2 linked regions of the Schizosaccharomyces pombe genome follow. The protein of the gene in region 2 interacts with the protein of the main gene of each other region in a pairwise test. Each region holds a gene or a part of one and is shown on either strand. Other genes may lie near its edges. The genes, in order: rti1 and ssb1.

Region 1 (8,086 bases), 530 kb from region 2:
TATCAAACCTTCATATGATGACTTAATTAATTTTAAGGGTCTTTCTAGGTATCTATCATTTGACGGGGAAAGTAGTTGGGGGCTTACTACCTATTCTCTGGCTTCTAAATACATTTTTAATACAAGCCATCACAATCTGACAGATCAGGAATTCTTAAATGAGAATATGCTGGATTACTTCCAACGTTACAATCAGAAATTGCTGACCGTTTTGAGTTCAAACGCAGAGTCATTCAATGTTTCAGACATGCAAACATTAGGTTTGAATCCATGTCATTCACTCGATAAATCATTTGTGTCAGAAATTTCACAAATATGGTTAAAAAAACATATCAACTGGCAATACGGTAAATACTTTTGGCTAAGGCGGGTATCTCTAATTTTTCTAGCATCTACATGTTTTTTATTTATACTTTGGAAACTATTGTAGACAAGAGGGATTTACCAATCCCCTAAAATAAAAAACGAGTTTTACCTCGAGCACCGGTTTCAAAGAAATTCCATTTTGTCATTAAAGTAATATATTATAACATATCTTCCTAATACCTTTATTTTATTCATTTTTTATGAGTAGATTTATTCTCTGTTTTTATTGCTTCATACGCTCTGTAAGCATTTCAAGAAGCTTTTCATCAGAGATATCGTCAGAGATACCAAGAGCAACACGATATTGCTTAATCATATCTTCTCTATCTTCAGCAGTTAAACCATCATCTTCGTCAGGATCCACTAACTCGCCATTATATTCATCTTCGGCATCCGAAACAGTTAGACCAACATCCTCTTTATCTTTAGAAACATGCATGTCTTTCATGAGTTTAGAAAGCTGAGCTTCTTTTTGTCTCTCTTTCGTCTGTCGTTGAATTTCTTTCATTCGTTCCATTTCTGGAACATATTCTTCCTCGTACTCCTTAACTTTAGCTTTAACAGCTTCTAAAAAATCATCCATGCCTTCACCTGTCACAGACGAACAGGACACGAAATCTAAATGACGATAAAATTCCTCAAGCATTAAAGACATACTGTTTACCAACGAACCCATATATCCAGATGTCGCACCCTCAGAACTCATACCTTCGTCTTTAGTCACAGCTTGCTGGAACTCTTCAAAATCGGTCATCCATTTCTTCGCAAATTCGCTATCTTGAACATCACATTTATTATAAACAATGATAAGTGGGAGCTTGGCTTTATAGAGCATAGAGCATGCATAAAGCATAGATGACATCCATGTTGAAGTAGATGTTGCCCTTGGCGTATCGACAACATAAGCGATGCATGTTGGCCAAGAACTGGCAAGTGTATCGCATATGATACTTCCAGAGGCAGACCATTGAAAAATTTCTATTTGTCCAGGAGTATCTATCAAAATGTGATCGACTGTTGGTGCACGTTTTTCCAAAATTTTTAGTACTTGATCAAACTTTGTAACAAATAAGTTTAAACTTGTCATAATACCGCCATTTGGCCCCAAGTTATATCTAAATGAATTAGAAAATTTCCCAAAATCTTGTAACTCTGGAATAGACAAACGTACTGTTTCATAACCTCTTTATAATTGATTGTATCACGAATATCGATATTTGCCTCATAGGGTAAATTTCGAACAGCAGGATCCAAGTTTAAAATGTAAGGAGGTTTATTTTTTGAATGAAGGTGTGCATTCAGTTGTTGCATGAAGGTGGTTTTGCCTATTACATGAAAATGATTAGAAATTGCTGCGTTGAGTGCTTTATTGGTTTTTCAATTATAAAAAAATTCATACCTGAACCGGCCATTCCTACAACTATGATGGCACAAGGCTTCTTCTCTTTATCTGTCATTTTGATCTACTTATTTGAACCAAGTGGAAGAAGAGGTGAAAGGTCAGTTCAAAAAACTACTGGGTAACACAAATTGAATTGAACGTCTTAAAAATTCATATTAATTATTCATATTAATTCTGTTTAAAGTATATTAAAAAAATAAATTGATTCATGAACTCGAAAATCGAAATTTTGCATTCAATAGAAGAAAGATAGTTAGTTAAATTCACTGAGACGTTCGTTGTACAGCAATTTATTTCGCAAGCAGTTTAAAAGTTTATACCATTGAACGTTTCACTCAATTTTATTTTTTTTATTTCGTTGAGAACGTGTTTGCAGAGTTGTTTGAAGTTAACGAAGGACGTCGTATAGGCATGGATCTGTTGTGGTCTATATTAGATGATTTTAGTATAGAATTACTCTTTTTGTGCAACTGAAATGCCATTCCCTCGTGCTTTATATGTGGGTTTTCTGCTGCTGCTACACGTGCATTCATAAATTGTACTGGGGGAATCTTGACAACCTGAGCTTCGGTCATTTTATCGTGTGCGTCAATTTTGTCAACAGAAACTTTTTCATCTCCTTCAAATTGGTTTAATAATCTATTAGTTAGTCGGCATTCGCACGCATTGATCGGTCTGTCTTACTCCTCGAATTCTTCTACCCTAGGTGACTCAGGAATAGGCGGGCGCTCGTGATGCATAAGGATGCTGTCCAGTTCTTCATCTATATTTTTATGTTTAGTTTTTCAATTTGGTCATTAATAAATTTTTTATACCTGCGTAAAGGTCTGTTTCTGAATGGCTTTGAATGGGGGGATTTTGCAGAGCTGGCAGACTTTCATGAATGTCATTCTCAATGAGATCTGATATAGGTTTATCCACATTGGAAATTTTCTTCTCTATTGAATTTTTATGTTCTAGCTTAACACTTTTATTTGCATGGCTTTCTATAGGGGTAGATACTTTCTGAGCGAACCGTGCATAGGGTCTTTTGTTTGCGCGTAAAAGGTTGTCGTAGTTGAACTCAGCCTAATTTTGCATTTCTGTCAGCTTAATTATTTTTAAATTTTATGTGTTTCCATATTACCTGGGCAGGTGCCATTTTCAAGATTTTTTGAATATAGCGTTTGTCGTAAAGGCAGTTACCCATGCTACTTCCAAAGTTTCGAAGAGCTCTCTTTAATGCGTCCGTAGTTCCTTCCTTTTTACATTTTTCGTAAGCTAATGCCTTCACTCGACAATTCTCTATAGATCCATATCCAACGTCCTAGAAAAACCATTTGTTAGCAAGAAATTGGCCACAATCTGATATGGAATAGTTAAGAACGAAAAAGTTATGAATTATTTCGAAAAAAATACCATTTGCTATAATTAATTTAACCGGTATCACGAAATATTACTGAGGACATGTTTTGTTTACCTCATGAAAGGAGCCATCCTTTAATGTAACGCGTACAATAACGCTGATTCCAACATTAAACTTTTTCTCTTTCGTTTCTTCTACCTTTTAATAATGATTAGTAAAAATAAATAAATATAGGCTCAAGAATTGATACGATTTGCACTTTTTTCGTAGAATTTTGACGCAAAATTAACACTTACATAATCGACATGAATGTCTTGAATGGAAGAAGACCACCCATTAAATCCAAATATTTCATTTGCGAGCTCAATTGCTTTCCATGCTTCTAAGTATGTAACAGATCCTCCTCCTGGACCACTTCGGCGAGAAATATACTCTGGGCCAAGTTGCATAGCAAGCAGTTTTGTCATCTTATCCTGTTGCGAATCAGTAAACTCTTCACAAGACGATTGATCAGGTAGCGAGCCCATTTTGAAAATGTTTTGGGGATCTTAATTTAAAGGAATGTTAAAAGAAGAATAATGGGTTTTTTATACGCGTCTTTCGCCACGTCACATTTGTTTGTTTACGCGTCTGTAAACATTGGACCTTGACAATTGAATGAACAAAAAAAAAAAAATCTAGCAAATTTAAAATGCAAATTAATAAAAAATCTCAATTTATTTCCTTAAACAAAGGCATGATTTTATAACGCAGAAAAAAAAAGCTTTTAAACATATAAGATTTCGAGAAGATTATGTCTGTTCTATTATACACTAAAAGAACAATTGAGCTTGCTAGTCACTTTCCTTCGACCTTACATTTAAGAACGTATTTGCTTTGTGTTACCAATTTATAAATGCTTGGTACACTCCAGAAAACAAAACAAACAGTAATGTGCTCTATGGTGTGCATAAAATTACTCATGGGCTGCTAGAAAGAGATTTAATTTTTTTAGGCAATTTCTTTATTTGTAAAATGATTTGCTTTGACATGTATTTCTTTAGAGATAAGTATTTCGATTTTTAATATTTTTGTTTATATATATGTAAATACGACTCTTAGGAAAATTATATATAAAAAAACCCAAATTTTCATTAACTAAAAATAATAACAATATTTTCTATAAATAAACTGCGCTGCAGAAGCTAGCAAAAACAAACCTGGTCTTATTAATTCCATCACCCACTCGTTTTTATTGTTTGCCCTTGTGCAATTGCTAGGTTAACGACTCAAAATTTGGCGTAACGCATAATATTTTAGGTAAAAATTTGTTTTTGATTAATAATCTGCAATTAAACTCTAATATACCAATTTGCTACCTAACTATGAAAGACATGTTTTACAAAGGAAATTGACTGCACTTCAACTTTCAGCTTCTTAATACCGTATATCAATTACAATCAATAGTATGAAATTCTCAACAGAACTGATTACTACTGGACTCAGTGTACTTTTGAATACAATAGTTCCAAAACTAATAAAGAAAATACTGAACATTCATGCAAAGCTTTTCCTAAACGTAGAGGTTCGAAATTTGACTTAACAGTTACAAATTTTATTTATTTAAAAATGATAAAAATCAATTGACATTTACAGTATTTTTTTTCATTCATTCAAATTTTTATTGTTTAACTGCGACTGATGTAGTTAATATGTATATGTTATATATTTTTTAGTGACAGACTTGGACACTATGCCTGAGTGGTTAAAGGGACAGACTAGAAATCTGTTGCGGTCTCCGCGCGCAGGTTCAAATCCTGCTGGTGTCGAATTTTTGCCAAAATAATGTTTTTGCATGTCGAAGTGAAAATAGACTAATTAAGAAGGAATACCATTCAATTCTTTGATTATAAGTATATTCTTACAAGTTTTCTACAAAGGTGAGTCCAATGAAAAGATGTTCATATCATTTTACTTAGTATGATCTTAGTCAACTACCCTTTTAGAGAATTATTGGTTTGCCAGCAAAAGGATATGCCGAATCATATGTTCTTAAACAACACCTTTAGAAGTGTATACTTGCTTCATGGCAGAGATATTTCGTTACCTACAATTCTGATAAACTTACAATTGCACAGATGCTTATCACTTTTTCACCCGTTTTAAAAGAAGAGCTTTATTCCATGGTACTGCTATCTTTCAAAGCAACCTTAAAAATCATATATCCAAAGATGCTCTTACTTTAATCTTCTTTGCGTGCTGCTTCAAGAAGAGGATCTATTTTTTTCGTTTTCAAAGCCTTCAAAAGACATGATTTGTACTCGGCAAAGAGCTCATCACAGTCTCTATTATGGAGATCACCTTTTAAGAATTTATTCGCATACCAATCGTTAAAGCAGGCATCATACTTCTTCTGTTCATAATTTAGTCAGCTAAAATTCGTCCACAGTGTTTATCATATAAAGAAAACTCTACCTTAGCAGGGGTACATTCTTCACTAACAGAGGACGACATAGTTGGATTCAGTAATCTTGATACTTTTCCAAACTGTTGAATGAATGAATTTTCTCCAGATCAATTAAACCAATTTCCTTGTCAAGGAAAAAAAAAATGAACGAAAAAAATTTAACAAACTTGAAGAAATGAATCAAGCAGTTTTCGATCCCAATTCCCTATGACCGTAGTAACGTGGTTGTCTAGTATGTGTAGAGCACTAAGCAAAATACCCCATGCCAGTTCAAGTTTGACACTCCACTTGGAACTTGTCAATAAAGCGAATTTGAATCTTATTTTTACTTATTTATTTGCATTAATCTTCAAATTTGCACGATTAGTGCTATTAAGCCTATAAAAAGTTGCAGTTCTATTAAATAGCCACATACATCTATTTTGTACATTACTATCCTGGCGTTTGCTGATTACGTCCTATTTTTGAATTATTCATTAGTCTTTTTTTTAGTGAAATCTTAGACTTCCAGAACCAGCTTTGTTATTTTTTTTTCTTTTTCTGGCAACTACGCTTGACAAAAAGTTTTTCATTAGGCAAGGATTTTAACCAATATAATGTCACTGGCAGATGAATTATTAGCTGATCTTGATGATATTGAGGAAACTACAGAATCTACAATTACTGATGAACTTGGGCCAGATGCGAAGAAAAGGCGGTTAGAGTTACAATTAGAGGAAGGAAATGGCATTTCTGCTGAATTAGAAAACGATTTGGATATTACCAAAATTAGCGATTCTGCTCAAAAATTGCCTAGTGAAGTTGCTAATAAATTTAATGACAATAATGAGAACATTTATCAGCTGTTGAATTCTACACGTCTTCGCGATATCATAGAAGGAACTGAGAAATATAAAGGCACCGAAAAACAAGCTATCACTGGAAACATCGAAGATGATCTCGAATATCACCTTATCGTGGATTCTAATTCAATTGCGATGGAAATTGACGATGAAATCCTGCGGCTGCACAGACTCGTGAAGGAATGGTATCATGACCGATTTCCTGAATTAAGTAGTTTGGTCTTGAATGCCTTTGACTATTGCAAAACTGTTAGTTCTCTGTTAAATGATTTAGACAACAGCAAAACCAAACTTTCCTTTCTTCCTTCTGCTACAGTGATGGTTATTGCTACAACAGCAACGACAACAGTGGGAAAGCCTCTTCCAGATGAAATGATAAAAAACGTTAAAAATTGCTGTGAGGCAATTCAGCAATTGGGTGAAGAAAAGCAAAAAATTATTGAATATGTCCAATCAAGAATTAGTGTCGTAGCTCCTAATTTGTCTGCAGTCGTGGGTTCTACCACAGCTGCCAATTTAATCGGCATTGCAGGAGGATTGACTAGACTTGGAAAGTTTCCTGCTTGCAATTTACCAGCGCTCGGAAAAAGGAGGCTGACAACAATTGGTATTAACAATCCGGCTGTTAGTGGGGATTATGGATTTTTGTATATGTCGGAAATTGTTCAAAAGACCCCTCCTGATGTACGAAAGCAAGCTATCCGAATGACTGCTGCTAAAGTTGCTTTAGCAGCAAGAATCGATTCCATTCATGAATATCCTGATGGCTCATTTGGCATATCTGCTCGAAAGGAAGTTGAACGGAAAATTGAAAAGCTTTTGGAACCTCCATCACAGAAACCAACTGTTGCGCTACCCGTTCCTGACGATAGGCCAAAACGTCGTCGTGGAGGAAGAAGAATTCGCAAGATGAAAGAGCAATATGCCGTAACGGAATTGCGGAGATTACAGAATCGCGTCGCCTTTGGTAAGGAGGAGGCGGAAGTCTTTAATTTTGACGAAACGGAAGGTCTTGGTATGCTTGGTCAAGAAGGTGAAGGAAAAATTCGTGCAGTGTCAATTGATTCTCGAACTAAATTACGGTTACCAAAAGCGCGGAAGGCCCAACTACAATCAATGGCACAGAAGAATCCCCTTGCTGCAAGCGGTTTACAAAGTTCATTATCCTTCACACCTATTCAAGGCATTGAACTAGTGAACCCCTTACTTCAACGACAACAAAAAGTAGAAGAGGCCAACAAATGGTTTCGTGATGGTGTTTTTACACAGATAAAGAAGGATTCTAATGAGCCGAAAAATAAATTTTCATAATAATGTCTTCATAATGATTAGTTACTTTGCATATAGCTATGTTGCTTTTGCATACTAGTAATACAGACCATAACTATGACCTGAGTGATTAAAATAAAATGATATTTTTAAAATTCTTCGAAAAAACTGATATTAACAAACAATTTTGAAAATTAAGAATATTGACTAATAGATGAAATTGCAACAAGCGCTTTTGCCATAAAGCTAGGCATAGCAGGAGAAGGCAAAATATCAAAATGAACGTATGAAACTATTACTTCAAGAATGATATAGTCAACCTTCAAAATGTGTGAAAAGAGAGTAAAAAAATACTAAAACCTTGTACGCGCGGCAAAAGGTAACCCCTAATTAAGTTGTGAAGTAAGAAAAAAAAA
Region 2 (8,876 bases):
GCTGATGCCTGTCATGACTGTCTCGAAGGCTAGCTTTTGGTGTAGCTCGCTTCACCTCTACAGGCTTGCCATGTATAGTAATATACGGCTGAGACATTGTTGCTTCTACGGCGGACTCATTTTCGTAGGTTACAAATCCAAACCCACGAGGCCGTCCCGTATCTTTATCCATCATCAAAGTGGCATCAAGAACGCGGCCAAATTGGTTGAAAAAATTGCGAAACTCTTCCTCTGTACAGTCGCCAGGAACTCCTCCAACAAACATCTTTGCAGTTTTTTCCTGTTCTTCACGGGGTATAGCACGTTTAGGATCGATCTGATTATTTATTAGTATCTCCTATTCGAAAGTTTTTTAACATACAATTTTACCATCCAGATGATGTTCTTTAGACATCACCTCATTAACACACTTGGGATTTTTAAAAGTTAGAAAGCCAAATCCCCTAGAACGGCCAGTAGTACTATCACGCATAACCGTACAATCGAGGACCTCTCCGAACTGCTCGAAATAATCACGAAGGGAATCTGTAAATCAAACATTAGCATTAAACCAATAAATTTACTCCTAATAGTCTAAATAGCATATATGTACTTAGCACCTGACAACAGAAAGAATAAAGCTTAACGGAAAATGGACGTCGTAATTTACTGAAAAAATTTATATCTAAAACAAGACCATTTTTCCTCAAGCGTATACCGTTCTGGTCGATGGTGTCCCAAACACATAATGTTAAGGTACAATAGGCAAAACAAACAAATCAAAAACTACACTTCCAGCTAACAAATTTCTGATCGACAAAATTTATGCATGCAAAGATAGTTTAAGATGGCGGAAAATTAACATACCATCGGTAGTCTCCCAATTTAAACCACCAATAAACATTTTACTAAAATATCTGGTTAGAATTGAACTACTGGAATTTCCTAAGAAGCTACAGGATATAGTACAATTAACATACCCGTCCTCTCGATTAAAGGGACTAGTTTCCTCTGCATTATCTTCATTTGATTCCATAGCACCGGAACCGGTCAGGGCCGACTGATTTTCATTATAGTTATCATTTTTAGAATTTTCACCGTCCTCGGCATTGTCCCAAGTTGCGGAACTCAAGGCTTGTCCTCTAATATCATACGAAGAAGGATCAGGCGCTTGCTGAGACGTTTCATTTAAATCGTCTTCTTGATTGGCTTCCGCTTCAGCACTGTATTGTTGGTCCGATCCCGAACGGTCAAAATCAGCTCCGGGTTCTTCTCGAAAAGGGTTTTCTTTTGTACGTTCAGCACCCGCTTCTCCCGATTTTTCGAGTTCTTCATAGCCCTCGTTTTCTTTTGTCGGCGTCACATTAGACGTTTCTTGATTTCCTGAAGCTGACTCCACTTTTTTTTCATTTTCCTCACCACTAATTAATCGATAATTAGTACTATAAAAATACATTTCGAAAACTTACTATAGATCCTTAAAAAGCTCGTCATCTTCAAAATCAGAGCCGCCCATCGTGAATTATTTAAAATAAGATATGAATGGTGGTTAAAAGATGGAAACAGTATGGGGTTGTACGTGATACATTCTACCAAAGCGGAGCGTAATACGCTAAATCCTGCACAATTCAGTGAACACTGTTAAGAATAATGGAAAAAGAAACGACAAAGACAAAAAAAGGAGTCGATCCAAATTTACAAGTTTTGCTCTGTTCTTTTGAATATAAATGATTTGTTGATATTATTGCTTGTAACTCAATAACTAAATATGAAAATTTTTACATAATTATATAATCTTACAGCTATACCGGAAGGCTTCATAATTCAGCAATTGTAACGATAGATCAGGCGGAATACGTATACAAAGACAAGGCACTTCCATATTTTGAGTTCCTTAAAACAGCACTTCTGCGAAAGACTAGGAAGCTTAAAATAATTATCCATCACAATATCAGCAATTCCCTGCATAAAAAAAACGCTCAAGTTTTTTCACTAAAACACAAAATGCGACATTAGGTGGATTTTTAAACGTAAAATACCCAGCAGTTGATCAAAAGACTTAGACGATTGACGTTTAGCCGTCAAAAGATGTTCTTTTAAAAATGACCAAAAAGATGGATTGCCAGGGGGTATTAAAAAAAGATCGACCCGGGGTAATTTTTTGCACCAATTGAATTGGGGTAAACACAAGGTCACTCGAACAGACGAACAAAAGAAACATTAAAATTTAAAAATATAAAAATATTGGTATAAAATACAAATTAATGAACCATGGAAGAACGCAAAATTCATTCCCTCATTGTGGGGCTAAAATATTCGCACACAGAATCCCTCAAGTTTCTAACCAACTGTTATGGTCTTCGTAGATAATTGCAGCTTTTTGAGAATGCTCAGAGATGAATATCATTTCCGGCATTGCTAACAAGTCTTGTGTTGTGGGTCGACAATCCACGTACGGATGCGTCATACGCTGAAGCAAACACTGTAATGATTCAGCACACCTCACCTTGTTTATTTGAACCTTTTCTTTCGACAAAAGGAGGTCTTTAAGATTTGGCAAATTTGAGTAATCTCCAGACCTTAGTCGTTGCCATTCAACACCATTTTCTGGCAGGACTACATTTGTTGCGGCTTCAATCATACTGAGGCCTAGTGAATATACATCGGCTGGTTTCCCATAATTATGCGAAGCTAATATTTCGGGAGCTATATAGACTCTGTCGCCTTCGAGATCAACCATCGAGGAGACCGGTAAACTAGTTGCTAGTCCGAAGTCTCCCAACTTTAAGTTACCATCACGAGTTATAAGAACGTTGGAAGGCTTAACGTCTAAATGAACAAATTCTAAAAGATGAATGAAATTTAATGCCTATGTTCGGTTAGTGAATTCAAATGACGTGTCTGTGGAACGCGACTTTTAAATATGTAATAACTTACTTGAGTTAGTTGAAACAACATTTTCCACACGCGAAAAGGATCCATGACCTGCAATAATCCCAATTCGCTTAAAAATAAACTTAGGTCTCCGTTTTCACAATAATCTAATTGCAAAAATATATTATCATTGTAGCTCCAAACGTTCACTAGATTTACTACAAATGGACATGCTTGCAAGCGTTGCAAAATAGATACTTCCTGTAAGTGACGCTCTTTTCCTGTAAACTTGGCTGCATTTTTTTTTAACATTTTTACAACGTAAACCGTTTCAGTAGGTGGGTTGATCGAAGACACATGATATACAAATGAAAAATCACTCTCGTGTATCGGCTTAACTTGTTGGAATCGAATTCGAAGATCACTAGTCCAATCTTCCTCTTCTTCGTAATCATCTGCGCTGTTGATGTTTAAAAAAATTGGACTGGTAGGTGTCCAACTTAATGAAGAAGGTACGTCTTTCTCATCCCAGTTATTAACGTGGGAACTTGAAAGGAAAATAGGCTGACTCTTGCAAGGCGTTTCGCAAAATTCCAACAAGTCCTCTGAACCATAAGACAAAGAAGGAAGTTCTTCCATTTCAAACGTTTCATCCGAGCTGTCAGAGTTTGGATGATCCAACCGACTAAAAGTATCTAGGTCGATATGTTTACATTTGCGAGCTAAAAGAGAGGTAGTGGGTGACAGCGGAGATTGAGGTGGTTTTAATTTTATTTTCGTTCCCTTTTTACAAGGTGTATGAGGTTGTTCACTTCTTGGATTAGTCAAATTCCCTTCCCATAATGACCACTTTTCACGTTTTGATAACAGTCCTGTGCTTAAAGAAGTCACCGCCCTTTTTCGTTTTAAATCAATTGGCGTTGAAGCATCCACAATTTTTTTGGATAACTTCAAGCCGCTCGAAAATGCAAATGGTTTGCTACACCCATCGAGATCTGAATTCTTAAAAATTCCGTGGCGAACTGTAGTGGATAATCTGATGGCTTTTGCATTATTTTGCATAGGGGTATGTGGACTTCTTTTTGTATTGGAAGGTTTAAAGAATGTCAGTTTTGATGACTTATGGCTCTGATTTTCTTCATGGCCAGACGAAAAATTGTAAATGGGTTCATCGTAGAAATTTAATGGAGAATGCTCATTAAACGAAGAGGATATATTAAAAAAACATGGTGTTCGCGTTGGAGTAATTGGGATGGTGGTTGATGAATCCATCTTTAACTGAAACCTGAATGTAAATAAAGTTATATTTTTTTGCTTATTAGCTGTTAAAATCCCGTTTTCACTTTGATATCTCCGGTTTTCCTAAATAATAAATAATATGCAGATGATAATGTAGTTCAACTCTTCCAACAAAAGGAAAATCACAAAGGATTTATTTCCTTTTGTAGAGAATTAAATAACACTACTATTCTTTTCAGCTTTTAAGGGCTTTTCTATAGCAATGTGTTGTGCGCAAAGGATAACTTTGAAAGTAAACAACCATTGTTGACATGCACGTACACAAACAACACATCTTAAAGTTACGCGTAATATTAAAATGTGTTACGACGCGTCATGACGCGTTCGCGTTTTTCATTTGGGATAACGCGACGCGGCTTCGTTCTTTTGCCTTAAACCAACCACTAATTAAAAAAAAAAGAATTTGCAAACATGGCTGAGCGATTATCCGTGGGTGCACTTCGTATAATCAAGTAAGTTAACTGTCCAAATTATATACTCAAAAGATTTCGACAAATTGGGATGTTAACACGTTTCTTTAGTACATCCGATGCTTCGTCTTTTCCTCCTAATCCAATTCTCCAAGTCTTAACCGTGAAGGAGCTAAACTCAAATCCAACTTCTGGTGCTCCTAAAAGATATCGTGTTGTCCTTTCCGATTCAATCAATTATGCGCAATCTATGTTAAGCACCCAGCTGAACCATTTGGTTGCCGAAAATAAACTTCAAAAAGGAGCGTTCGTACAGCTTACCCAATTCACTGTAAACGTTATGAAAGAAAGAAAAATTTTGATTGTTCTTGGTTTGAATGTTTTAACTGAACTTGGCGTAATGGATAAAATTGGTAATCCCGCTGGTTTAGAAACAGTTGACGCTTTACGGCAGCAGCAAAATGAGCAAAACAATGCTAGCGCACCACGAACAGGTATTTCGACAAGCACTAACTCATTTTATGGAAACAATGCTGCAGCTACAGCACCGGCTCCACCTCCCATGATGAAGAAGCCAGCAGCGCCGAATAGCCTTAGCACAATAATCTACCCAATTGAAGGTCTCTCTCCATATCAGAATAAATGGACTATTCGTGCCCGTGTTACTAACAAATCTGAGGTTAAACATTGGCATAATCAACGAGGTGAAGGAAAGCTTTTTAGCGTAAATTTACTCGATGAAAGTGGGGAGATTCGTGCAACAGGCTTTAATGACCAGGTTGATGCTTTTTATGATATCTTACAGGAAGGTTCGGTTTATTATATATCTCGTTGTCGTGTGAACATTGCAAAAAAACAATATACCAATGTTCAAAACGAGTATGAGCTGATGTTTGAACGTGATACTGAAATAAGGAAAGCTGAGGATCAAACTGCCGTCCCCGTTGCGAAGTTTAGTTTTGTTTCTCTACAAGAAGTCGGCGATGTTGCCAAAGATGCTGTTATCGATGTAATTGGTGTACTCCAAAACGTTGGACCAGTTCAACAAATTACCAGTCGTGCAACTTCTCGTGGATTTGACAAGCGTGATATCACTATCGTTGACCAAACAGGATATGAAATGCGTGTTACGCTTTGGGGAAAGACAGCTATTGAATTCTCTGTTTCTGAAGAAAGTATTCTCGCTTTCAAAGGAGTTAAAGTTAATGACTTTCAAGGACGCTCTTTGTCAATGTTAACTAGCAGCACCATGTCGGTAGATCCAGATATCCAGGAATCTCATTTGTTAAAAGGTTGGTATGATGGACAGGGTAGAGGGCAGGAATTTGCCAAACATAGCGTAATTTCATCTACTTTATCTACTACTGGAAGGAGTGCTGAACGTAAAAATATTGCTGAGGTTCAAGCCGAACATCTGGGAATGTCAGAAACACCCGATTATTTTAGCTTAAAGGGCACCATTGTTTACATTCGAAAGAAAAACGTGTCATATCCTGCTTGCCCTGCTGCTGATTGCAACAAAAAGGTTTTTGATCAAGGTGGCTCCTGGCGATGTGAGAAATGTAATAAAGAATATGATGCTCCTCAATACCGTTATATTATAACTATTGCTGTAGGTGATCATACGGGACAACTCTGGCTCAACGTCTTTGACGACGTCGGTAAATTAATCATGCATAAAACGGCAGACGAATTGAATGATCTACAAGAAAACGACGAAAATGCCTTTATGAATTGTATGGCAGAAGCTTGCTATATGCCATATATCTTTCAATGTCGTGCTAAGCAAGACAATTTTAAAGGTGAAATGCGAGTACGCTATACAGTGATGTCAATTAATCAAATGGACTGGAAGGAAGAGTCTAAAAGATTGATAAATTTCATTGAGTCTGCTCAATAAAACATTGTGTTTTACGTCTCGCTGGTCGAGTAATTGAGTTTTTGGCTTAAATCGCGAAAACTACGATTTATGATTTTGCATACATTGATTACAAAGTGACTCCTTTCCTTATGATTTGGTACTTCACTTACATTTAACTAGATTTAAAGTAATTATATATGATCTGAATTTTTGGAGTAATTAGTTCTGTTGCTTACATATTAAAGTTCCTTGATGGGTAATTTACGCTATAATGGCTTGATTGAAATCACCGCTAAAAGAATGCAATGATATCTTTTAATATGAAGTAAAATATACAGTAAACTTATCAATTGTTTTAGAATTGAAACTGTTGAAGAAATAAATTACCAGATTGTTTTGAAGTAAATACGAGTCTACGAAAATGCAATCCTATTTTAACAGGAATATGAACCATGATTTTTTTAAATTTACTTTATAAATAAACAACTTTAATAAGGAAGCGATTTAGATACCAATAACAGCAGGTTACATTCTTTAATTGAGTAATAATAATATAACTGAGCAAAAAGACTGTTTTGCGACAAATTTTGTTAATTACATACAAAATCTTAAAATACAACATTTCTTTGATTAAATCGTACAAATTTATCTTTAAAGATCCTTAATTAGCTCCCCACATTCTAAATGGAATGGAGTAAACTATTTAATCCGTCTCGCAACAACCTTCAGTAAAACCTTGACAACGAGAGATTTAAAAAAGATTAAGCGCTGGTTTTAGTTTTTGTAAAGTCAATGGGGATGCTAAAGAAATGATAGAGTAACGGATATGTTCGAAAAAAGTTCTGAAGCCATGATCTTTTGTAGATCAGATCAGTCTTATCGTATCTCCAAAAAACGTAGATTATAAGTATCTTTCTTGTAAAATTATTGTTATCATTATGATAGAAATCTTTATAATTTCAAAGATCGTCTGTTTTTTGATAGTATATTAATTCCGTTATCCGCTAATATTAATCATTTCATTAGCACCTAACCGCCAACGGTTTCCTTTAGCCTGACGATACACTATTTTGTTAATAAGCCATTGTGACATTTTATAGCAAGCAAACTATCGTCATTATTATTCAATTATTGTAATCCAAAACGGAAACATACAAAGTTAGACTGTCTACTTAACTACAAATTGGGAGTTCCGAAATTCACTGTGATTTAATTTTATAAATGGCTGAAAACAACGTCTACGGCCATGAAATGAAAAAGCATTTTATGCTTGATCCCGATTACGTGAATGTAAATAACGGAAGTTGTGGAACAGAATCTCTTGCTGTTTACAATAAACATGTCCAACTTTTAAAGGAAGCTCAGAGCAAGCCAGATTTTATGTGCAATGCCTATATGCCGATGTACATGGAGGCTACTCGAAATGAAGTTGCCAAGCTGATAGGCGCGGATTCAAGTAATATAGTTTTTTGCAATTCCGCTACAGATGGGATTAGTACGGTTTTGTTGACATTTCCGTGGGAACAGAATGATGAGATATTGATGCTAAATGTTGCCTATCCTACTTGTACATATGCCGCTGATTTTGCAAAGAATCAGCATAATTTACGATTAGACGTTATCGATGTTGGGGTGGAAATTGATGAAGATCTATTCCTTAAAGAAGTAGAACAGCGTTTTTTGCAGTCCAAGCCGAGAGCATTTATCTGTGATATTTTAAGTTCTATGCCCGTTATCTTGTTTCCTTGGGAAAAAGTCGTAAAGCTTTGTAAAAAGTATAATATTGTTAGCATTATTGATGGTGCTCATGCCATAGGTCATATTCCTATGAATTTGGCTAATGTTGATCCTGATTTTTTGTTTACCAATGCTCATAAATGGTTAAACTCACCAGCTGCATGCACTGTACTCTATGTCTCAGCTAAAAATCACAATCTCATCGAAGCACTTCCTCTCTCATACGGTTATGGATTAAGAGAAAAGGAATCAATTGCCGTAGATACTCTTACCAATCGGTTTGTCAATTCTTTCAAGCAAGATTTACCTAAGTTTATAGCTGTTGGTGAGGCTATTAAGTTTCGAAAATCCATTGGAGGGGAAGAAAAGATTCAACAATATTGTCATGAAATAGCTTTAAAGGGAGCCGAAATTATTTCTAAAGAACTGGGCACTTCCTTTATCAAACCTCCATACCCAGTTGCAATGGTAAACGTCGAAGTTCCCTTACGCAACATTCCCTCCATAGAAACACAGAAAGTATTTTGGCCTAAATATAATACATTCCTTCGATTTATGGAATTTAAAGGAAAATTTTACACTAGACTTAGCGGTGCGGTGTATTTAGAAGAATCAGATTTCTATTATATTGCTAAAGTTATTAAAGACTTCTGCTCTCTTTGAATAACTATGCTTCACAATGCATCCTCTGACTCTTTTTATGTGACTCAAAGCAC

What was found.
Region 1: the proteins of ssb1 (region 2) and rti1 interact in a two-hybrid assay, tested with the Schizosaccharomyces pombe proteins (one study listed by BioGRID).

The regions. Positions count from the first base shown.
Region 1 is NC_003423.3:741,589-749,674, reverse strand, and holds rti1 (DNA repair and recombination protein), read right to left. Parts: upstream 3,641-8,086; coding exon 3,410-3,640; exon of another isoform or gene 3,312-3,409; coding exon 3,228-3,311; exon of another isoform or gene 3,075-3,227; coding exon 2,895-3,074; exon of another isoform or gene 2,837-2,894; coding exon 2,584-2,836; exon of another isoform or gene 2,532-2,583; coding exon 2,453-2,531; exon of another isoform or gene 2,408-2,452; coding exon 2,119-2,407; 3' UTR 1,941-2,118; downstream 1-1,940. Other genes in the region: SPOM_SPBC119.16C (uncharacterized protein), read left to right, coding at 1-430; GTPase npa3, read right to left, coding at 590-1,481, 1,538-1,691, 1,766-1,823; protein Mdm35, read right to left, coding at 5,335-5,505, 5,568-5,606; U4/U6 x U5 tri-snRNP complex subunit Prp31, read left to right, coding at 6,156-7,712. UniProt on the Schizosaccharomyces pombe protein: Active in the repair of DNA damage and in mating-type switching. Probably involved in the repair of DNA double-strands breaks. Has a role in promoting S phase completion.
Region 2 is NC_003423.3:216,948-225,823, reverse strand, and holds ssb1 (DNA replication factor A subunit Ssb1), read left to right. Parts: upstream 1-4,525; 5' UTR 4,526-4,563; coding exon 4,564-4,604; intron 4,605-4,673; coding exon 4,674-6,462; 3' UTR 6,463-6,642; downstream 6,643-8,876. Other genes in the region: msi2 (cleavage factor complex subunit), read right to left, coding at 1-316, 362-525, 847-887, 960-1,400, 1,449-1,495; M phase inhibitor protein kinase Mik1, read right to left, coding at 2,312-2,848, 2,917-4,125; ergothioneine biosynthesis methyltransferase Egt2, read left to right, coding at 7,645-8,823. UniProt on the Schizosaccharomyces pombe protein: As part of the replication protein A (RPA/RP-A), a single-stranded DNA-binding heterotrimeric complex, may play an essential role in DNA replication, recombination and repair.